Xenopus tropicalis: one gene and its partners. The protein of the gene in region 5 purifies or fractionates together with the protein of the main gene of each other region. This does not show direct contact. Links are inferred from orthologs where the notes say so. Each region holds a gene or a part of one and is shown on either strand. Other genes may lie near its edges. The genes, in order: adnp, baz1b, hipk2, dnmt1, daxx and cbx5.

Region 1 (4,253 bases), on a different chromosome or scaffold from region 5:
CACAGGCAACACCAGACTGTTTATATTCTCTGCACTACTGGTTATCATATGTAAAAACGTGGCAGAAACTAGCTGGTAACAGACCTGCAGGATGGCTGACGCAGAACAAAAATGGATCAACACATACAGCTTTCAACATTAATAACATTTACACATAACTTTTAAAACTAATGAAATCAGGAATGCATGTATTTTGAAAAGTTAAGTTATATTTTCTTTTATTAGTCAAAAGAACTGTTTTTCAGTAGTAATTAACTTTAAAGCATGGTTACACAGTTGATAAATAATGATGGTTACTAAAGACACTTCACTCCATGGGTTCCAGGGTCCTCTAACATGCCATGCAAAAACACAGTCCTTACTACCATCCTTCTTTTCTAAAAGCTTAGAGGTAGAAAGGAGAAATGAAAACAAACCTTTTATGTCAAAATAAAGTTAAGGAAGATTGAAATGATGATCCGAGCGCCAGTTTGTTGCTGTATGTCCCACACAGTGCAAGGTGCTGCAGATAGGAATCCAAGGAAAAAGTGTAAGTGCCAATGAATTTATCCACCTGTAGAGAGAAAATGATTGAATTTTAAGCACATGGTATTTTCTTAAAAACTACAGTACCCTCTGATTCTACTCTTCCCCTCTATAGTGCCACTTACTGGGTTAGTGCTTTGATACATTAGTCTATCAGTTCAGTTATGTTTCACCCCCTTCCCAGGGCCACCCTCTTTATAATTTGGGAGTTCTGTTTCTGCACAAGTTGCACAAAACGTTGAACCCGAAAAATGCTAAAAGTAAGGTAAGGTGTTGTTATTGAATACACTATACCATGCTCTACACTAGTGATGGGCAAAACCTGAACAAACAAGGGATAAGTTAGTGGTAAATAACTAGCTGGCATAATCTGATGTGAGGTGCATAGCCCTAATGGACACAAGGAGTAAAGTAAATTGCCATGAGTAAGAAAAGGCACCAATTTGACAAGTCAGTTTTGTGACAGGGGGGCTATACCCAGGTATCCAAAGTATAGTTTTTAAGGTGTTGCTGAACCATCACTAGCAGCCTTTAGCAGAGATGCTGGGAACTGTAGCACTCAGAAGGTCCCAAGCAGTGCATCCATGCTCTACACTAGTGATGGGCAAAACCTGAACAAACAAGGGATAAGTTAGAGCCTGCACCTAGAAGCACCAGAGGGGCCTAGGGAATGTGGGAGTGAATCACTGGCTCTCTGCACAAGCAGTGCATAATGCTGCTGTCATGGGCCCTGCCGCATTCCACTCCCAAACCTATAGGAGGCGCTGTGCAGCAGCTTCCAGTTTTGCTTCAGTCTACCCATCCCCCCACCCCAGCGCCTTACCCGGCGCACAGCAAGCGCCCCCTACTGGAATGTGAGGCGCCATTTTCTAGCTGCAGTGCATCTTGGGTGGAGGCTGCCTGTTATTTTTTTTATTCCCCTTTTTCCCCCCTGCCACAGCTCGCAGCCGTGCAAATAGAGAAAACAAACAGCGCTAAAGTGCATGACTAATGCGAAGCCATCACTGTGACAGCAGGCCATGTGCAGCGCAGGAAAACACCGGCAGCAGTTCGGATCGAGCGCCTTTGTGATGGACCCCCACTACGGGGAGTGGTGCAGCCCACCTGCCGCTAAACCCTAGCGCCGGCCAGCCCATGTGTACCTGGGGAGAGGGGAGCATGCTGGTTTAAAGGTTCCTCCTACAGGATCGCGCCTTTTTGCAGCAGAAGCAGCCAGACAAGGGAGGGTGGGGGCAGCCCCTATCCCCACCCCCTCCCATATATTAACCCTTTGCCTTCATGCCACTGGGATGCCCGAGGTACGGCCCTCCGGCTTCATAACTGCACGCAATACGAAGTTCTATTTATGTAGCATGGCAGCGCCAACCCCATGCCCCCCGCTGCACCCACAGCCGGATCCTGTGCCCCTCCATGCCCGGCACCCCTCTAGCCGAGCTCCCACCGGCACTGCATGTCAGGCTGGAACTCCCCAGCAGCAGGGTGCCCACCCACACATCCCATTGGGGCACCCCAGCTAGTGGCAATGGGGGCAACAGGACTCATACTGGCACCTCCCCCATCCCTACACCCAAAGTAACAAGTCTGTCCCCACAACCATCATTATCCGCATCCAATCAGAGCTGCCCGGCACAGATGTGAGTGCTCAGTACAATAGCCAGGTATGCCCCCTGCCCACTGGGCCCATCAGCCTGCCTATCTGTCCCCACACTATCTCCATCCCCTATTTGTGTCCCTCACACTCTCTGCACTTCCACCAACTCCATTGTGCCCCGCACTTCCTGCAGCCCTCAGTGTCTCCCCAATCCTTAATAACTTCCATCTGTTCCTCACACCACCAGTAACTTTATTATCCGTAACTAGCTCTGCTCTACCCCCTGTCACCCCCCCCAATTCCTGAACTATAAATCCCATCATCCTCTATAGGGGGGATCTGGGAGTTCTAGTTCTACCTCACGTTAGGCACTCCGACTTCATGAGAAGATGCACCCCAACATACCCACCCTGTAACCATTACGCCGCTCACGGCCCCAGACATACCTGAGCCGGGGGGTTGCTTGTCAGCCCGAGGCGGTGGGCAGCCTATGGCCCCTTGGGATATGGGGGTGCCAGGCAATGCGCCTGAGCATGAGCCCCGTGTTTGTGTGTGGGAAGGGGGTGGAGTCAGTTCCCGGTGCCGGTGGCTGCAGCTGTGACTCCGCCGGGTGCACTTCCTCCTCCTGCAGACAATACAGCACGGCGGCGGCAGCGGCTCCGATCCTGCCCTGGCCAAAATGGCGGCCGCGAAGGAGCGGAAGTGACGTCAGCGCTCATTAGCATGAAGGAGGGGTGGGGGGACTCATTGTCCGGAGCTGGCGGGAGCCCGGGAAAAAACAAATACTCCACTGCAGCCGCGCACCTGGGGACCGGGGAGATGGGCATGCACAAAGGGGATCTTGTCCAGCAGGAATTTGGGGGTGAAAGAGAAAATCGGGTCACCAAGATAATCTCCCTCTCACCGCTAGGGGGCGCCTTTTGCGGACGGATACTTCAAAGACAGAAAAATTACAGTGGGAATGCGCGGTGTTCTTGGTATCCCTTCGCCACCGGCACTATTATGGGTTTGGTCACGTGGTGCTGGGTTCTCAGTGCTGCAGCCATGTGGTTTGGGTGGTGTGGAGGGAAGAGATTGGTAGGGCAGCTCCCTGACTGGGTGCCAATTTCATTGCTACTGGCACTATATCAGGAGCAAGAAGTAAGCATCCCATGAGTTACACTTCTGTGGAAAGAGGCTCATTGGGAAACTAAGTTGGCCACAGTAATGGCTGCCAAGGACTGCCAATTTACAATGGTCTCTTTGGAGGGAGGTGACATCTTCCAGCCAGTGGTCACTGTAGTTCTTGAGGATCTAACAAATGACAAGTAAAATCCCTTAGCTAGGTATTATGGTGCCAATATAGTAGGTACCACAGCATCCCTCTGGCAGTTGCAAAGCATCAGCACCTTTAGCAGAACTGATTGCTAGTTAGTAACCCATTGTGCATATAGGTGCCCTCAAAGCCAATTAGCTGCTTTCTATGGTCAACAGCCAAGCATTAAAGTCATTCTCTGATACAATCAGGACCCTATTTCATGGTATGTTTGGGGACCTGGAATATTTTCTTTCAACTAAAGTAGTTTTGGTTTGCCATTGCCCTTCTATTCTTGGGGCTTCTGATTTTCTAGACTAAAGGTAACAATACACATGCCTATTTAAGTTGCCAATTTCAGACCAATTTAGCAGCGCATCTGTATGGGCACTACCAACAGGCCTATTTATTATAAAAAAAAATAGGCAAATGTATTTAAGCATTTGATTGAATTGATTGAAAAATTAATTGAAATTATTGAAAAATGAAGACAACTTAATTCAAAGGACCAATAACCCTAAACATGATTAATCTGACTTCAAGCCTTTTATTTAATTCCAGTGTTTGCCGTCAGCTCCACTGTGTTGCAGTCTTTTATGTGTTGTCTAAACAATGCCCCACCCAGCCTATAATGTTCAGTGGATCTTTACGTGATACATATTCATAAACTGACTTAAATATAATAAAGTACAGTTCAAGTATATATTTAATGCAATAAACCAACAGTTACCATCACCAACCAGTATATTAAAAAAACAAAAAAATAAAATTATATATTACTTAAAATTGTACTCACAATTAAAGAAGATTATACAAAATTTAATAAAATCATGAATGTCCCAA
Region 2 (3,722 bases), on a different chromosome or scaffold from region 5:
CATACTATGGCATCTGGCAATGTTTCGGGTATTCAAAGTTCCCTTTCTCAAGCCCAAAAGTTATCTTACTACAAGCTCTTTGCACAGCATTTAAAGAAATCTAATAGGAAATGACCATCCATCCTCATATATTATATATATGTTATTGGAATACATTATATCTTAAATTTCACATTGCACTTAGTACTCTAAAGTAATTGCAACATGAACTCTTATTTTAAGAATAAATACAGATCGTAAACATCATAATCTTTATTTAATCCTGCAGAGAATTTAATTGTGTATCCAGCGCACTTCACTTTTTTCAGTCATAATTCTGTCTCCTCCACATTTTAAAGGAAGGTCGCTTCCAAAACCATAAATCTCAGCTGACCTGCTCTGTGTTGCTATTCTATAAAGTGTTTATAAGCTGGTTGTTTTATAATTCACAATTTAATAGCAGGTTTATGTTGTGATATACATGGCTTGACCGTCTGCATGGTCTCATCTATATAGATGAGACCGCACTGACATTTCAGCACATATTTCAGCATTTCAGGTCACAAATTTTGAGATATATGAATGGTAGTCCTGTAATTGTATCATCTTCCCTGTGGCTGGATGTACAAACTCCTTGCCCTTGATGATACTGGAACATTGTGTACAATATAAAGGGAACATAAAATATTGTTTTCAGTCCCAAAATTATACTAGTTTGATATTTTTGGAACAAATTATGAAGCTGTAACGGTGCTTAGTAATGTCATGGTCACTCTTAAGATGATCTTCCAATTTAAAAACCCACTAGGATTGTTTTACAACCAATATGGATTATGCCACATGTTCAGCAACTCGGTGAACAGATCTTGCTTATCGTGCTAATCTATGATATATGTTTGTATATATGTGTGTCGTTGTAACCACTGACTGTTCAGGACTGACTGGTTTGTTTGCTTATTTGCACAGGGAGGGGCAATATGGTGACGACAGATGAGGCAATTAGTCGCTGTGATATTTAGAATCTAGCTGCAGCGACTAATTGCATTATGCAAAATTCATGTGCTTAGTTCCATACGGTACATTTCTCAGGAAGTTAGGGCCGTGGAAAACGGGGAGATTAATCTCCCCGAAATGCCATCCCACCGGCAAGGTTGTAAATCGCAGGTGTGATGGCATACGCAGCGACAAAATCACTGAAGTTTCCTCTAAAGGCAACTTCGGTGAGTTCGGCAAATCGCCACGCCGCTTATGTCGGTGGGATGGCATCTCGGGGAGATTAGTCGCTCGCAACAAGGGAGATTCTTCGACAAAGATTAGTCTCTGCAACTGTGTTTTCTGTCACCATGACTGGTGTTTTAAAAAGTCGCTTCAACTAATTACCCCATCTGTCTTTGCCCTTAAGGGACACTTAGGGGGGGCAAGATAGCAGCTCCCAGTAGATATGAGAATAGCACTCAGTAGTAAGAAATCCAAGTCTGGCTTGGGACTCCTCCACCTACAAGGGAGTAGGAGAAACCATAGGTTACCTGAAAGCAGTTCCTAATGTGTAAGCGCTGGCTCTTTCTGAAAGCTCAGACTCTGGTAAAATGCACTGAGATGGCTGCCTACACACCAATATTACGACTAAAAAAAAAAAATTTTTGGTTCAAGAATAAGATTTTAAATGGTAGAGTGAATTATTTGCTATGTAATCAGTGTAATTAAGGAATAAAAAGTATACCATAAAAATCATGACAGTATACCTTTAAGGAAAAATGTGGTGTTGGTGGAAAACAGATACATTTTTTTGATGTCCTAAGAGTTCCACACTATTCGAGTGTGCTGCATTCTCATCTTAAGGAAAAAATTCACATGATTTAACATTTAAAAGAGGATTAACAGTGCATCTTAAAACTGCAAGACAACGGGCACAATGAGTGCTCAATGTAGTAAGAGTGGGCAGACCGTAAAATGGAGCCCATGTATATATAGGTCTGTTCCGTTGGCCTATCAATAGATTTACACAGTGCACAAACAGTAATCACTGTTACCAGTAAGTGACCAGTTCTACAAGGTAAAGCCAATAATGCACTTACTGGTGTGTTTAGAAATATGCATGTAATTGAACTAACTGCTAATGTAGTTTCCAGAAATACATGCTCTAAGTATTTAAGAACTTTTGAACTCATGTCCCGTATTCTTGGGATGTTGAAATTGCTTGTTTGGGGATGGTGAGTCCATAGTATAAAATCTTACAAAAGTTTATTTCTGCATACAGTCCTTGTGGGCTTCAAGTGTTGCAGCAATAAAAAGCAACTCTTGTCCCTTACTATGACATGATGTTACCATTCTCTTCTCTACCACATCCACACCACAAACTGGATTTTTAAGTCCTATATTTTCAACACTCCTTTCTGTATTTAAAAGGTTCAGTATTCGTGTATAGTGTGTTGTGCAATTCCCCTTGGAGCTTTGGACGCTAATATGCCCAGAAAATATGGGGAATAACTTCCCATTTCCTAATATGAAGAGTTTGTACTTATATTGTACCTTTAATCCTTGCATTCCCCCTAGTAAGTTCTGATAAGTTGCAGACCCATAATAAAGTAGCATAGTTATACGAAAAAAGGCTTATATTTATTTTATATTATCCAATTCAACATTGTGCAAATACTTGGACTACAAAAGTCTGATCCTGCTGCTTCTCTGTGTTCAATGATCCAAAACTGAACAAGGTAGGATGGCTTATCATTAGTGGGTGCACTGATGCCTGTGCCCCATGCAGGTCAGTGTAGTACACTTCAGACATGTTGGTCGATATTAAGACTGCATTTGGCAGCCAAAAGGCATAATACAGTAAACTTGTGCCACGTAACCCAATATTTATGGCAGCTTCGCTTCGATTTAACTATTTACTTCTGCTGTGTTTTTATTTTTGCAGTATATGACTCTAAATCCATCATCAGCAACAAAAAGGAAGAGTCTGGGATCCCCTGACCATAAACCAGCTAAGAAAAGTAAAAAATCACCACTTAGCCCATCATCGTGGTGTCAGGTGAACCTTAAGAAAACGGGGATTACCAGTTCCTCTTCAGAAGAAGAAATGCAGTTAATGAATGGTGCAAACTTAAACAAAAAAGGCAAGAAATCGGACAAGAAGAAACCTAAAAGTGGCAAGTCACAGCTACTGAATGGCCAAAAAGTTTCTGGCAAGGCTCGCTCTCCTAAAAAAGGGTTAAAGAGCCCAAAGTTAAAGCAAATGACCTTATTGGACATGGCAAAAACAACTCCAAAAGTGTCCCGGGCCCAAAAAGGGGGTGCAAGCACACCTAGGTCAAGCAGCAAACCCCACAAATACCTACCCCCTGCTGCTCTCCACTTAATCTCTTACTACCGTGACAACAAGAACCGTGAAGACCGTAAAAGCGCTCTGTCTGCACTGATTTCTAAGGTGGCTCGAATGCTGTCTGCTGAAGACCGCAAAAGGCTGCCTGATGAGCTTCAAGAACTAGTTCAGAAACGCTATGAACTGCTTGAACATCGCAAGCAGTGGGCAGTGATGACAGAGGAGCAGCGTCAAGAATACATGAGCAAAAAGCGTGAGGCGTTAAAAGCCCGTATTAAGGAGAAGGCTCGGGAACGGAAACAGAAGGAGAGAGAGGAACGTCTGGAAAAACAAAAGCGATATGAAGATCAGGAGCTCACTGGTAAAAGCTTACCAACTTTCAAACTTGTAGACACCCCAGAGGGACTACCAAATGCTT
Region 3 (3,722 bases), on a different chromosome or scaffold from region 5:
GATCCTACCCACAAGTTCCAGACTTCCTGCCCCCCCCCTCTGTTAACTGTTTTAGTTTGACCCAGTATCAGACTAGGGCACCTGGGGCCCATCAAATTACCCGATTTCAAGGGCTCCCCTGCCCAAAGCACAACAGGTATTGGGAGTGGCCGGGGCCTTCCTGCGCCAATGGAAAGGTATCCGGGAACCCGGGGGGGGGCAATAATTTATGTAGGTGGATCAGGTGAGGAATGGGTAAATAAAGGCCAAGTGTAGGGCATTGTGGGTTGGCTGAGGGAGGGGGTAGGTACAGAAATGGCCTGGCCAGAGGTGAAACAATGCTTAATTTGTATAAGGCAACTCTACAACTTGCAGTGGGTGGAAGAAGGGTCTCACTGGCCCACTCTGATACCGGGAAATATCACAGTGGGTTCTAGGCCTGGTGTCCATTTTGGACATATAGTTTAACTGTTCCCCACTGGCCAGGCCATTTCTGTACCTACCCCCTCCCTCAGCCAACCCACAATGCCCTACACTTGGCCTTTATTCACCCATTCCTCACCTGATCCACCTACATAAATCATTGCCCCCCCCCCCCATCCCATCAAAGTGTTCCATTCCCACCCTCTGCGTGAGTTAAAGACTTCCTGACCCTACAGAGTCCACAATATATGGCTTTATGGGTAAAAATTCAATATATACTCGAGTATAAGCCTAGTTTTTCAGCACCCAAAATGTGCTGAAAAAAAGTCACCCTCGGTTTATACTCGAGTCGGGTGCCGTGGGTCCCTCCAGATGAAAATTCATCTTCATCTACCATCCTCACCTTTCCCATTTTGCACTTTATATTCTATATAAACTATATATAGTTTTGAAGGATTTTAACTCTTTGTGTTTTAGCTTGGTTGCTGATTGAGCTAAGGGGGTAGTACTCTTAAGTTATCATTGTTGATACCATATTGTTTTTGTTGACCCTCTTCTCCACTTACAGAGCTAGTTTACTGTTTTTCTTTGAAATAAATATTGAAAAACATATACCCCACTGATGCCTCAATTAATGTCATTTTATTGGTATTTATTTTGATTATTAAAACTTAGCAGTAGCGGCTGCATGTCCCACCCTAGGCTTATACTCGAGTCAATATGTTTTTCCAGTTTTCTTTGGTAAAATTAGGTACCTCGGCTTATACTCGGATCGGCTTATACTCGAGTATATATGGTACATGATAAACTATACCTTAAGACCAGGTATCTCTTTAGGCAACTTACCTATAATATCTGGACTGTAGGTAGGTGGAGCAGACCGCTTTTGACACATGGCTCGCAGAACCAAAATCTATAACCTTGACCCTGTATGGCTGCCGGGAAGGATCCACCAGCATGATGTTCTCCGGCTTCAAGTCGGCGTGAATAAGCCCCAGACTTTTCAGTTTCATCAGAGCAGTTCCCACCTGCTGCAGCACCGGCCGGATATACTTGAGGGGCAACGGGCTGAATTTGTTCTGCTTCAGGAAGTCATAGAGGTTCTGCTCCAGCATCTCAAAGACCAGGCAGGTGTGGTTCTTGTGCTGGAAACACTCGTAGGCTCTCACAAAGTTGTAGTCGTCGGCGCTTTCCGTGCTGAGCCTGGCTAAGATGCTCACTTCGATCTGGCCTTGCCTGGCGTAGGACGGGTGGTTCTTCAGGATCTTGATGGCCACAATCTCGTTGGTTCCCCTCTTCCAGCATTTCACCACTTGACCAAAGGTTCCTCTGCCCAGGAACTCCAGCACCTCATATGTGTTAGTCATAGAGCAGAGGACTTCGTGTTGCACCAGCTGGTAATCCCCTTCGCTGTTGGAGCCACTATTCTTGGAGGTGGCGGTGGAGGTGGTAGCCGCAGTGGCCCCGCTAGCATTGTTCTGGGTGACGGGGGGATGCTCGTCCACGATCTGTACACTGCTGTTATTTTCCAGCTCTTCACACTTCCTCTTCAACCCGCACTTCTGGTAGGTATCCAGAAGGCTGACCGTGCTGCGCCGCATCAGGTTAGTTTGAGGGCCGCCTAGTGCTTGCCCCGTCGCCGCTGAGGAACCGTTACTGGACGAGGTTACCACAATGTGGCCCGCGCTGGTGGGAAAGATGACCGTCTGCTCGTAGGATTGGAGGAGGGAGGCGTGGCTGAGCACCGGCTGGCCAGACGTGGAGCTGTTCTTGCCCGAGTTATAGACCTTGCTGTGGCAACCGTAACCAGTCATATCCCAGCCCGGGCTCAGTTCAAGCTTCGGCTTCTTCACCTTACAAAAGGTCCTCAATGGGAGGCCGTGAGAGGAAAATATCTGCAAATGAGAGGCCATACCTGCAGAGAGAGAGAGAGACCCACAATTAGACGTACACTGGGGGCAAAAGGCACTTACACGGAAGGATAAATATTACAACTGGGGGTAAATACTTAATAACCAAATCTATGTTTTTATCTTCTTATAAAGTCACAATTCTGTGTTTAGACCCATCCATAAACCCTACTAGATCCTTACATAGAAGCACCTACATGGATCCTATGTGGTTCCTGGTTAGACCCATCCATAAGCCCAACTAGATCCTTACATAGAAGCACCTACATGGCTCCTATGTGGTTCCTGGTTAGACCCATCCATAAGCCCAACTAGATCCTTACATAGAAGCACCTACATGGCTCCTATGTGGTTCCTGGTTAGACCCATCCATAAGCCCAACTAGATCCTTACATATAAGCACCTACATGGCTTCTATGTGGTTCCTGGTTAGACCCATCCATAATACCAACTAGATCCTTACATAGAAGCACCTACATGGCTCCTATGTGGTTCCTGGTTAGACCCATCCATAAGCCCAACTAGATCCTTACATATAAGCACCTACATGGCTCCTATGTGGTTCCTGGTTAGACCCATCCATAAGCCCAACTAGATCCTTTCATAGAAGCACCTACATGGCTCCTATGTGGTTCCTGGTTAGACCCATCCATAATACCAACTAGATCCTTACATAGAAGCACCTACATGGCTCCTATGTGGATCCTGGTTAGACCCATCCATAAGCCCAACTAGATCCTTACATAGAAGAACTTACATGGCTCCTATGTGGTTCCTGGTTAGATCCATTAATGTGGTTCCTGGTTGCAAAAAAGTAGCTGCAACTAGTAGCCCAGTGTGTCTTCACCTTAAGGGTGAAGACACACGGAGCTACTAGTAGCAGCTACTTGTTGCGGCTATTAAAATGCTGATCATTTACTGACAATGACAATGCTGATCATTTACTGATAACTGTTTCTACGTGTGTTTTAGGAGAGGCAATTCTCAGTATGGAAAGGTATTTTCTGAAGTTTAGTAGCTGCAAAAAAGTAGCTGCTACTAGTAGCCTTGTGTGTCTTCACCCTAAGGGTGAAGACACAGAGAGCTACCAGTAGCAGCTACTAAAACAGACAATGTTGATCATTTACTGATGGGTTTTAGCAGAGGCTAGTGCTGGGCGGTATACCGGTTTAACCGGTATACCGGTTTTTTAAAAAAAAAAACGATATGGTTTTTTTGGGGCCACCAATATTTATTATTTATTTTTTATTTATATACCGTCAAATACCGTGATACCGATATAATTTTGAAAAATACCGTGATATAAATTTTTGGTCATACCGCCCAGCTCTAGCAGAGGCCATTCCCAATATTGTCTATGGCAGGGGATTTTCTGGCCTTTAGTAGCCATGGCAAGTAGCTGCTACTAAG
Region 4 (4,317 bases), on a different chromosome or scaffold from region 5:
TGTTTTCCGATGACAATATTCCTTTAAAATTAAAAAACCCTGCACCACTTGCTTTGTTGAATCTCTTTCCTCCCAGACTAAAGATGGTGAATTTTACTGTACTGCACATACACCCAACGTTACTTTACTGTGCACACCTGGGAACATAAATACCTTGCCCATGTAACGCTTCATAAAGCTCAGATAGTTATCTGACTTCAAACCTAACCCATACAGTAATTAATTTCAAAATGCAAACCAGAAGATGCATTCCTATCGTTACTAGTAATGAGACGTACCTCAGACAGTTCCTCGCTGCTCAGCTTGCTCTCCAGATCACTTAGTTTGTTTCTAGCATCTGCTTCAAGGAAGCCAAGCACCAAACTCAGTTTCTGTTGTACACATTCCTGAAAATATTGCATACAAAAGGGTTAAACATTAGTCAAATAGATCTTAATGTTAAAGTTTATTATCTCTACATAGCAATATTAACACCCCACCCCTGCAGCCAGTGAAAATACCAACTACAGGATAGCATAGGCGACCTAAAGTAAAATATCAACTTGTCTTTGCGATTCATATCTGTATATTTTTTTAAAGGGGAGATAGAAAGGTTACCTTTTCTGTCATTCCATCCTGATCCCTCTCCAAATCCTTTAGCCTAAAATACAAAAAATATTTGAGATTTTGCTTTAATATACACCACATATGGAATGTTATACCTCATAACTGGGAAACTACAGTTTCCCCAATAGGACCTGCACAGCCTGAATATCTCAAACACTGGTAAGAAATGGTGGTGCCACGGTACACATGAAAAAGTGGTACTGCAGCTAAATAGACGCTTCAGTAAAACAGGTAAGCTGATTCTCATGGTACCGACCATTCTTCTATATAACAAACATATTTAAATATGTTTGAACACATATTCTATCACCTAAACATAATGTTGCTTTTAAATTGTAACTGGAATGTAGATACTGTACAGATAAGGATACTGAAAGTACTTCTAGCCAGAAGCAAAGTCCATATGGGAACTTCACATTCATGTTAATGTCATAAGCAGGACTGCAAAAAAAAACAAACCAGTACACACTTTGGACATTTTGCAACCCACAGAGGTTTGCCTACAAAGCCTTGTTGCTTTCTGGTAGCAGTACTTCCTTCAAAATACTTTGAGTAAAATGCAAGTTCAATGAGTCCCCTGAGGGTACTTTAAGTGGTTTATCAAGTTTATAACAAATGTCCACCATTACCATGTCCAAAGGGTTGGATCAGCTGCCATTGATATTTAGTTCCTATACTTTTACACTGCTTGTCCCAGAATCAGAGTTGTGTTTACAAGTACACCAAGTCACATTCTCTGCTGAATACCCTATACTGGGGCTTAGTGGGCACAAAGTTAGCTCTCAGCAGTGCGCCTCTCTAAACATCAATGCTTGGTTATTTTCTAATAAGCTTCACCCTCTTTATCAGCCAAGATGCCACAAGTGGATTAATACTCCAAAACTGCCTGCCAAACTTGCAATTGCCCCCCCCATAGGTGCCATTGTTAGTATATCATTGGCATACAACACCTATGGTATTCTTTACAAGTGAAAATAGTGTTTCTTACAAAGATTACCAAGAGGGTCAACGTGTCTTCATAGAACTCCCAGCACAACTTTCAGCTGTTCATGGGATATGGAAAGTTGCAATATATATATATATATATGCACCCAAGGGCCTATGGCTATGGTGGCAGCTTTTGAGAGGCAGCCCTGTTGCCAATATAGGATAGTTTAAAAAAAAATTAAAAAAACAGTTAAGTCAAAAGGTGAATAATCCCACTGTACCAGTTACCAGACCATGTACCTGAACCTCATACCAGGTTCTTAGCGATTAGCCCCAACTGTAGGGGGCCCAGGAGCCCCAGCCCCAACTGTAGGGGGCCCAGGAGCCCCAGCCCCAACTGTAGGGGGCCCAGGAGCCCCAGCCCCAACTGTAGGGGGCCCAGGAGCCCCAGCCCCAACTGTAGGGGGCCCAGGTGCCCCAGCTCTGACCCAGCCCCAACTGTAGGGGCCCAGGAGTCCCAGCTCTGACCCAGCCCCAACTGTAGGGGCCCAGGAGTCCCAGCTCTGACCCAGCCCCAACTGTAGGGGCCCAGGAGTCCCAGCTCTGACCCAGCCCCAACTGTAGGGGCCCAGGAGTCCCAGCTCTGACCCAGCCCTCTTCCATACGCTTTCAGGAAGCCTGAGAATATATCAGTGATTTATGTCCATGTACCCATATCTGGACCTGACAGGTAATAAACATGTGACCTGAGAGGGTACCAACACGTACCCCATATTGCAGAGCTCTGAATGGAGGAGACATGTCGCTCCCCAACACCTACAAGGAAATAATAATCTCATATCTGCGGAGCCCAAACAGTGGGAGCTTCAACGTGGGCATGGCATGCCGGGAATGTCTCCGTTACCAGGTGGGGAGCGGGGGGGGGGTACAACACCAGTGACACGGGCTATTCCCCTTACCGTTTCCTGACATCGGCAGGCAGAGCCAGGGAAGCGGACTGGGCCGGCATGGCGGTATATAACAGCGGTGAGACAGACTCGGTCAGAGGCAGCGGTCCGTTCCCGTAAGGGCAGGTCTCAGTTCCTCACAACGCGGGAAGCTCGGGATTTTCCCGCCACCTCAAGGTGAGTTATACCAACAGAGAGAGCAAGCAGCGGCGTGATAAGTGCGGAGCGACAGAGCCAGACACAGTGACCCACCGCACGGAACCGCCTCTCCTTTTCAAATGGCAAAAGAACCGGGCGCCGTCACGTAACCCCGCCCCCTCCGCGCTCTCCCGCGCTTTGCTTTTACCCGCGAAACAAAAACGAGGGAAGCGCTGATTGGTGCGTATAGACAGCGTAGGGCGTTTGTATTCACATTATGGAGGGGAGGGCTATGGCAGATCATTCATTCTGCTTTACTTCAACTCCGCCCCCCCAGCGTGGAATTATCGGGCTGCCCCAGCGCGCCGTGTTGTGTGACGCAGCGACAGGTTCAAAGGGGGAAGAGGGCGGGGCGCCGTAATGACGCAATGACGCACAGCAGCTGGGGCCGCGCTGACAGAGTGCGCTCTGCTTCCTTGACAACTGCTGGCGCCAAAATGTGTGTGTGGTAAAACAAAGCCAGTAGCAAGGCTGTGAGGGTAGTTGGGCCCTCTCTGGTGTCAGGGCCGGGGTACAATAACAATGGCAATAATAACAACAATAATAATAATAACAATGTGACAATAACAATGGCAGTATTAATATATTAAGTGAACCTGGAACTTCAGTAGTTATATATATAAGCAATAACTTCTCGACAGCCCTGCACCCATTCAGTCTGACCCTGCTAAAACCCTTCCAAAATTACCTCAGAGGAGCTAAAATGAATGATTCCAAACGTTGCTTTTTGTGTAAATTAATGGAATTTGTCATCAGTAAAAACTAATTTAGGTTTCAGGACAAATACCATTCCAAACTGCAAGCTACGAGCATGGGAAGTAATGTGGCCCTGAGCCATAACTGTCGCATTTTTACAAAATGATAGGTTTTCCAAAAATATCTTTCACTACTAGAGATATGTTGATAATATTTTATTTATTTTGAAACAGAGGCAACGGCAGTTTGCTGAATATATGAACAAGGTACAGAGGGCTATGAAGTTCACACTGGTATATCATGATACGCTGATAATTTGGATGTACAGGTAATCACATACAGACTGATATATATCTAGAAAACCCACAGACAGGACCAACATGTTGCTATACAATAGCTTTCATCCAACAGGTACACATACAGGCAAGATGCATGGAGACAATCCGAGATTATTACTTAAGGGTTGAAAGAAAGAGGTATTTATTAGAGAAAAAAAAGGCAAATGGCACTCAGGGCTGCAAGCAAGGGAACAAAGCCTTTACATTTTTATTGCGGAGGTGCAACTTTTCGGGGCAAGATATCAAGCATGCTTGATAAAGGGGTAATCTTGCCCCGAAATGTTGCACCTCCGCAATAAAAATTTAAAGGGTTTGTTCCCTTGCTTGCAGTCCTGAGTGCCATTTGCCTTTTTTTGCTACATTGGATTTGGGAGGGTGCCGATCCCTCCAGCAGTGTGCACCGGCTATTTTGGAGAGCTAGGGTGTGCGGAAAGGTCTCTGTTGTGCGTATTTATTAGAGAAGACACAGAAGGAGGTGGCAGGGATAGACAGAGGTGTTTTACTGAAAAGAACACAAATAACTGAAAAATAATCCTTTTTGTGACCACTTATACACAATCTAAGGCCATAAAAGGAGAAGGAAAGGCTAATAAAGAGTTAATCCC
Region 5 (2,901 bases):
TACGCACCAAGAGCTGTGAGAAAAAGAACCCCAAGTGCACCTATTCAGATACCTACAGCTAAGACACGCCTTTCTGGCCAAGTTCCAAACCCTCACCCCAAACCTGGTCTCATTGGACCTAGAAACAGCACTTAACCAACACATATCAAAAAAGCTCCTTTCTATGCACACCTCCTGGAATCCAATGCCATGTGGACCACCTCAATCCCTAGCTTAGAGCTGGGCGGTATGACCAAAAATTTATATCACGGTATTTTTCAAAATTATATCGGTGTCACGGTATTTGACTGTATTTTTTTTTTTAGGTATGCAGCTGTTCACAAAGAGATGTTCTCCATCCCTTCGGGAACATTGACTGGGTATTCATAATAAGGGAAATATTCTTTCCTTCTGGTCATTTACTTAGATGCAGGTTTATGAGACCTTTCGTCAAAGAATTCTGCTTTGCAACGCATTATCAAGAATTAATGGGCTTGGTTATGCTGCTGATTATGTTTTTTTAATGTTCTAAGGCAATTTTAAAGTGGACCTTTATTAAAGATACAAAATTGTCTAAAAGAGCACTGCCCTCATAAAACTAGGGTCACAGGTGAAATGTAGCAGGGCTAATATGAAATTCCACATGTACCTCCTCTACAACCCCATGCCCTTAACGGCCCTGCTCCTTCCCTGCACCACCCGTTCCTCTGACAAGTGTTACTATCTTTTTATTTGCTTTCAAAATTCAGAGTGGCGTTAACAGGCACCTACCTGGACCTGGTTTCAACTGCGCATGCTCTGTCAGCAGTCGCACAAGTGGTGTGAGATGGTGCCTGTTAGACCTGCTGCACAGCTTTTCATGGGAACAGGTAGTGTGGGGAAGGGGGCCTTGGGACCTACCTACAGCCCCTCCCCACCATATCCTTTGCTCCAAGACAGGCGGAGACGGGCCCTTTTAAAAAGTTGCGCCGTACGTGACGTCAATACGCACGGGTGCAACTTTCTCGACCGCAACTTTCTCAACCGCAACCCCGATCTACACCGGTATGGGGGTATTTGAAAAACTAATATCAGCTTTTTTAAAAAAAAAAAAACGGTATTCGGTATATGGCGGTATACCGCCCAGCACTACCCTAGCTTAACGCTAGAGCAGTAGGAGGAAGCCACAGAAAGCTTCTATGAGTTTCTTATTTCCCTACGGGACAGGCTGATTCAGTATAAGGTCTTGCACCAATTGTATATTACACCCACTAAACTCTACAAATTTGGCAAAGCACAAAACGTTTGTTGTCCAAGGTGCAAATCCTCCCAAACGGAGTTTCTCCACCTAATCTGGAGCTGTCCCCCCCATTGCGCAGTGATAGTCTGCAGTGATGGATACCATATCAACAGAACTAGCGCTACCTAATGTGATCAATCCAACAACCTGTCTCCTAGGCACGGTGGAGGACATACTCCCCACCAACGCAGCCAGGGCAAGATTCAGATTTTACGCAAAGAAAGCAGTCATAATGAGGTGGATGGGCAATAGTGTTCCCACACTCGAATTCTGGCAACAGCTTATAAATGCTGCCCTACCCCTCATAAAACACACTTACCAGACCAGAGGGGCACAAAGGAAATTTGAAAAAATTTGGGGTATGTGGTGCGAGTCAAGCCGGTCTTTAACTATCTAGAAGGGGGCCATGTCCAACTTAACACTACGCATTAGGGCTACACCTAGCACCGTAGTACCGCGCAACTAACCTGAAATTGTGAAACAAAAACATTTACTAAACAAAAAATTTTACTAAACACCCATCTTTACTCATGTAACCTGTTTTTATTACATGTAGTAATTTCATTTTACTGTTATAAATAAAGAAAAAAAAAGTAGATCTCTCATCCATAAAGTATAGGAACCCCTACTTTAACTAGTGTCTCTTTTTGCATTGTAGATGTCTTCGCCAAGGAAAAGAAAGGTTTCCTCGCCATCTTCAGAAGAATCAGAGGCAGAGGAGTCGGATGACTCCATAACTGATATTGAAGATGAGCTGAAACAATGTGAGGCATTGTCTGATGAAGAGGAAGATGACATGGATGCAGGTGAGAAGGGGTAAGAAAGTTAAATCAGGGAAACTGCACAAAAAGCAATCAATGGCACAGAACAGTTCCAGAAGAGGCAAAATGCATAGTAACCTCCCTGCTTTCAATTTCTTTCCTTAGAACAACTTTCTGTTGACCAAGACAATGAGGAAGACCCAAACAGGGAGACAGAAATTGAGTCATTCTCTTCAGCTGAGGAGGAGAAAGAAGATGAAAAGGAGGATGAAGACCAAATCCAACATGGAGAAGATAAAGAGAAGGAGGGATATACGAAAGAGGAAAGCAGGCCAAAAGATGAGGTTGATAAAACCATGGTAAAAAAAGATGGAGAAAATAAAGAGTTGTTAATACAGACTTCTGCACAGCCTTCTCTTTTATCATCTCATGGGAAAATTTCAGAAATACTAGAGATACAGCAGGAGTTGCTTACACCTCATACCTCTTCCTGTCTTCCAAACCAAAGCCAGAGTAATTTAATATTGAGTACTATAGAACTGCAAAATGAATTAGTGGAGTGTGGTATTCAACAGAAGAGTATCTCAGAAAACACAAAAGACTGCCTTGAATTGCCAGAAAATGAGAACTTAGTGGAAAATGAGGGACTGCCACATGCTGCAAGCAATGTTGAGTTTGAAAATGCAGTAGTTGTGGGTAAAAAGACTGACATGTCTACAAATAGGTCACCTATGGACTGTCCTTTGCAGTCAGACTTGTCTAACTTAACTGGGAATATGCAGGATAACTTTGTTCCAGAAATCAAAATCAGGTTGAAAAGTGCTACTCAAGATAAACATTATCAGTTACTTACAAAAAACACTGAAGTAAGTGCCACACAAA
Region 6 (4,504 bases), on a different chromosome or scaffold from region 5:
AGCAAAGGGACAGGCACAAAGGATTATTTTTCTTCATCTACTATAAGACCCTTTCCTATTAATTTCACCCTCTACCCAAACCACAAAAAAAATAAAAAAAATTTAAAATAAAGCCTATCTTGCACTTAAGCAATAATCTATAGCAACCAACGAGATGTTTGGCCTTTGTTCAGCCAGCAGCAGGAATGGTGAAACTACCACTGATGTGTTGCTATGGGTTACTGCCTAGGTGCAAACTTGCCCAGTGATTAAAAAGGAGACTCGCTAATTGGGCAAAGTTAGCAGCCAAGCCTCTAGGTGGGGGAAGTGCACTGGTTAGGCCTAACCAACCCAAGCCTCTAGGTGGGGGAAGTGCACTGGTTAGGCCTAACCAACCCATTCACCAAAATGGTGAATCACCAGTTTCCCCTCCCCCACCGCGATACCATAAGGGTCATTTTTTTCTATAGGAACAGGTTTCATTTAAGTTGAATGTGTAGAAGCCATAAATAGCGAGAATAATAAGTATATTGTTAGCCTGAACATCGAAGCTGAAAACACGCGTTTTTACAAATCCGGGAATAAGTTTGCCTTTCTGTTACCAATTTGTACGGTATCCGAGAGAGAGGTATTCTTTTATTTATTGCTAGAGAATATCTAATATGTATTAAGGAGAGGCCTAATCATGTGTGGCGTTAGAGAAAAGGCGCCTTCCAGCTACGGGCCACAGCGCCGCCATTAAGCGAGTAGAAAATAGGCGGTACCATAGCGCCTCGCAGGGTGGAGCGCACAAAATGGAGTCAGACAAAGGAACTCTACGCAAAGCTTCCAGCTCGGCGTCTAAAGAAAATCCCCAGCCAGGGCCTACATGTTATTCACATAATTTAGTCGTTATCTAATATAGCCTGACCTACCGTAGCACTCTCATATATACAGCATACAAAAAAAAACCTGGCCCAAAAAGGCGCCAACACTCCTACTGATACTTATGCCCATAACTAGAAGGCGTAAAACTAAACGACTATGATAAAAAGAACCGAATGCATTATGCACTGGCGCTAGGCCTTACCTCGGACTTGTGCATGGTGACTCTCCCCGATGTTAACTCAACAACAGCAGAAACAAAAGAGAAGCGACAGGAAGGAAGAGTGGGGGATTATAGCGCAATGGCAATGTATATTTAGTGCGCCAGAATACGCCCACTTGCCTCCTAATTGGTCGCTGTCTGCGTAGGCATCGTCGATTGGGCAACTAGCGTGACGTTTAACTTCAGCGATTGGTTAAGACGTTGAGGAGGAGGGGAAAAGAAATCGGGTACGTTTAGTCAGTCCTTTTGTCCGGCCTAAGTGAGGTGCTGGTACGCCCCGTTTTCTCATTGGGCGAGTGATTATCGGTGTGCATATTTTATACAGAGATTTCCGTACTGGCCCGGTGCTCGTTTTATAGAAGTTCGGGCAGATTTGGTTCTAGCCATTGAAATTACATTTTATAGGGCCTCAACCTTTGGTTATGAATTCTGGTGAATGGTTAGGCTGCAGTATGGCACGGACTGGGCATAGTGTGTACCCGAGGAGGGGCATTCCTTTAGGCTGGAGGGCGGTGTTGCGCATGCGTCTAGTGGGTTGTTTTTGGCGGGGTTTGGTCGCTGGCTGCGCACAGTACCGCTCGGTAAGAGCCTTCACTCAATTCCTGCTAGCGAGCAGCTTTCGGTGGGCGCACGGTGTATTTCGCGCAGGAAGGTGAGTACAACTCGCTGCCTCCCACCCCTCCTCGGCCCTTCCCATTCATTGGCTGTGTGAGGTGCTGCTGCTGGCACTGTGCGAATAATGGGGTGCCCCGGCTTCATTGTGGGAGACAGGGACAGTGATGTGGGAGACAAGGGGCGCTGCTGATTGGCGGAAGCTTGGGGGTCATTCGCAAACTTTGGGAGGAACGTGTTGTACCGTTCAGCCGTGTAGCCGGGCAGCGACAGTGCGAGGCTTAACTTAGGTACTTACCTGGGGCTTACAGACAGCGCTGGGCAATACCCATTGCTCTCTCCCCCTGGTATTGTATCCTGGGCTGGTCCTATTGGACTATTATACAATAAAAACCTGTATGGCATGATTCTGTTGTATATTCTCTGTATACAGATATCGGGCATGGCCAACATCCAGCTGTTCAGTTGGGGGAGGTGTAGTACAACAGCTGGATGTTGATGTGAGTCCTCCATTCATTCCATCATCATTGTGTGTCAGCAATCACATATGGAACGTCTGCTCTTCTGCACCCCTCCAGCTGCTGTGAGCTATGTCTGCACATATCAGCCAGCAGGTCAGAATGGTGTAGTTCAGCAGGAACAGTCTGCCAGGGGTTGGGCATCCCTAACCCAAGTAAAACCATGGCCTGTGGCTATGGAAATGGTAATACATGCAACACGCAGTACAGCAGCTTTACACCAGGCACATAACTTACTGGTATCACTTGAAGCAGAAAAGCAGTTTCTATGCAGTTGTCTCCATAGGTTAAGGCTATTTGCAGCAATTCCACACTTTTCTGTTAAATGAAGAGTGCCTATATTCAGAAATTCTGCCCTTGGAGGGGGGCGCATGCAACGCAAATAAGAGCGTTGCAAAATGGCTTCAGACATCACTCAGACCAGCTCTAGGCATTTCTATCAATCTCACCTCCTGTAAATAAAGTAAATACCTTGCTTACATGAGGCTTGAAGGGGGTCTATGGCAGGAGCTTAAAAACTACTATGCTTACAACCAGCTAGGCTGCTACCTAGGGAAAATGAAAAATGTCCCTAGGGAAATGAAAGGGAACGTGTATTTATAATATGACAATACACTTTAAGCAACGGCATTCCTTTAAATAACCTTCACACCTGCATGCCAACACAGCAAGCTTACTAGGTGTAATCACTAATGCTAACCTATAACCATACCATCTGGCAATTCTGTAGATTCTGGCAAATGCCAGAGGGGCTGCAGTAAGGTGTGGTAGACAGTCACTATTTATTGGGCCAGTGGAGGGGATTGGGCCTCCGTGTATGTCAAATACCAGGGCCTATTATGAATCTTAAGGTGTCCATGCACTGGGCAATTTTAGCTGCCAATATTGGTCCTTTAGACTGATTTGGCAGCTTATCTGCCCATGCATGGGCACCAACAACAGGCCCCAACTGACATCTGACTTGAAATCGGGCAGGTTTGATATTTACATTGAATTGGGGACCGTGTCGGCTCGTTTATGCAGTCTCTGAACTGATGGTGCCTATGCCCACCATTCTAATTCAATTGTTTGGCCCTAAGTTGAATTAGCCCAATATCACCCACTCGTAGGGGGCCTATCGAGAGAATATCGGATCTTACGGTGTATGGCCACCTTTAGTCCAGACTCCCAGATAAAGTCTGCTGGAGTATAGGGAGTAGTAGTTGAACAGCAGGAGGTTCACAGGCTGGACATGTGGGCTTAAATGTGCCTTTGTATACTTTATTCTTAGACTGTAGACATCTTATGTATATAAACAGTAAACATGTATAAACAGTGGGCAGATTTCCACATGGGCAGTAACCCATAGCAACCAATCCATGACTGCAGATTGAACAATGAAAAGCAAAAATGTGGTTGCCATAGGTTACTGGCCAGTGTTCATAAAAAAGCCCCTGTACACAGTCTACTTTGGAAGGGCAGGTGACATCTCTGTTTACCACTTGACCACAAAGGGGTTAAGATAACTGAGTGAAATTGCTCTTAACTTTCACTCTTATGTACTGTTTGATGACTTTATTATTTCAGGTTGCTTTTGCAACTTAAGGTGGAACTCCACCCAAACACAACTTAAGCGTTTTAAAGAGTAACTTTGTAATATACATCAATTAAAAAATATGCAGCAATTTCATGATTTTTAATATACAGGTATGGGATCCCTTACCTGGAAACCCATTATCCAGAAAGTTCCGGATTACGGAAAGGCCAACTCCCATAGACTCCATTATATGCAAATAATTCTAATTTGTAATTCTTTTCTCTGTAATTATAAATCAGTACCTTGTACTTGATCCCAATTAAGATATAATTTAATCCTTACTGGAGGCAAAACAAGCCTATTGGGCTGTTAAAGTAGTCGACTGTTCTTAACCTGCAACCTCCAAATCCCACAATCCCCTGCCGACGTGATGTCAGTAAGCAATGGTACATCATAGTGCAGTGCATTGTGGGTTATGTAGTTCTTGCATGCTGTCTGTAAGCTGTTGAGAACTTGTTACTATTTGTAACATCAATGTTTTAGTCCCTCCTCTCCCACCAGGATTTCAAATGATGCAGAAAGGTAACTGTTTTGAAGCTGGATTTCAGCATATAAAAATGGTATTTGTTTATACTTTTTGAAGGAACAGATTACAGTGATAGGTGTATTAGGGGTTTCTGTGATGTTTGGGGCTCTTTAACAAATTTTCGGAGTTCCCCTTTATGATGTATTTTTTTTCCTCCCATATATGTATAAAAAGCTCTATATCATTTTGCTTTTTTTTTTTTTTTT

What was found.
Region 1: the proteins of daxx (region 5) and adnp purify together in Homo sapiens (affinity purification with mass spectrometry; 4 studies listed by BioGRID and IntAct, with this or other methods). This does not show direct contact. The link is inferred for Xenopus tropicalis from reciprocal best matches to the Homo sapiens genes DAXX and ADNP.
Region 2: the proteins of daxx (region 5) and baz1b purify together in Homo sapiens (co-immunoprecipitation; 3 studies listed by BioGRID and IntAct, with this or other methods). This does not show direct contact. The link is inferred for Xenopus tropicalis from reciprocal best matches to the Homo sapiens genes DAXX and BAZ1B.
Region 3: the proteins of daxx (region 5) and hipk2 purify together in Homo sapiens (affinity purification with western blotting; 3 studies listed by BioGRID). This does not show direct contact. The link is inferred for Xenopus tropicalis from reciprocal best matches to the Homo sapiens genes DAXX and HIPK2.
Region 4: the proteins of daxx (region 5) and dnmt1 purify together in Homo sapiens (affinity purification with western blotting; 4 studies listed by BioGRID, with this or other methods). This does not show direct contact. The link is inferred for Xenopus tropicalis from reciprocal best matches to the Homo sapiens genes DAXX and DNMT1.
Region 6: the proteins of daxx (region 5) and cbx5 purify together in Homo sapiens (affinity purification with mass spectrometry; 3 studies listed by BioGRID and IntAct, with this or other methods). This does not show direct contact. The link is inferred for Xenopus tropicalis from reciprocal best matches to the Homo sapiens genes DAXX and CBX5.

Annotation. Positions count from the first base shown.
Region 1 is NC_030686.2:35,649,624-35,653,876, reverse strand, and holds the start of adnp (activity-dependent neuroprotector homeobox protein), read right to left. Parts: upstream 2,892-4,253; 5' UTR 2,563-2,891; intron 1,766-2,562; exon of another isoform or gene 1,668-1,765; intron 554-1,667; 5' UTR 417-553; intron 1-416.
Region 2 is NC_030678.2:41,885,042-41,888,763, reverse strand, and holds part of baz1b (tyrosine-protein kinase BAZ1B), read left to right. Parts: intron 1-2,899; coding exon 2,900-3,722. UniProt on the Homo sapiens protein: Atypical tyrosine-protein kinase that plays a central role in chromatin remodeling and acts as a transcription regulator. Involved in DNA damage response by phosphorylating 'Tyr-142' of histone H2AX (H2AXY142ph).
Region 3 is NC_030679.2:7,953,482-7,957,203, forward strand, and holds part of hipk2 (homeodomain-interacting protein kinase 2), read right to left. Parts: intron 2,318-3,722; 5' UTR 2,316-2,317; coding exon 1,249-2,315; intron 1-1,248.
Region 4 is NC_030679.2:137,119,477-137,123,793, forward strand, and holds the start of dnmt1 (DNA (cytosine-5)-methyltransferase 1), read right to left. Parts: upstream 2,807-4,317; 5' UTR 2,543-2,806; coding exon 2,493-2,542; intron 641-2,492; coding exon 598-640; intron 387-597; coding exon 279-386; intron 1-278. UniProt on the Homo sapiens protein: Methylates CpG residues. Preferentially methylates hemimethylated DNA. Associates with DNA replication sites in S phase maintaining the methylation pattern in the newly synthesized strand, that is essential for epigenetic inheritance.
Region 5 is NC_030684.2:72,192,316-72,195,216, reverse strand, and holds part of daxx (death domain-associated protein 6), read left to right. Parts: intron 1-1,916; coding exon 1,917-2,064; intron 2,065-2,184; coding exon 2,185-2,901. UniProt on the Homo sapiens protein: Transcription corepressor known to repress transcriptional potential of several sumoylated transcription factors. Down-regulates basal and activated transcription.
Region 6 is NC_030678.2:145,616,211-145,620,714, forward strand, and holds the start of cbx5 (chromobox protein homolog 5), read left to right. Parts: upstream 1-1,572; 5' UTR 1,573-1,718; intron 1,719-4,504. Other genes in the region: hnrnpa1 (heterogeneous nuclear ribonucleoprotein A1), read right to left, coding at 1,049-1,063. UniProt on the Homo sapiens protein: Component of heterochromatin that recognizes and binds histone H3 tails methylated at 'Lys-9' (H3K9me), leading to epigenetic repression. In contrast, it is excluded from chromatin when 'Tyr-41' of histone H3 is phosphorylated (H3Y41ph).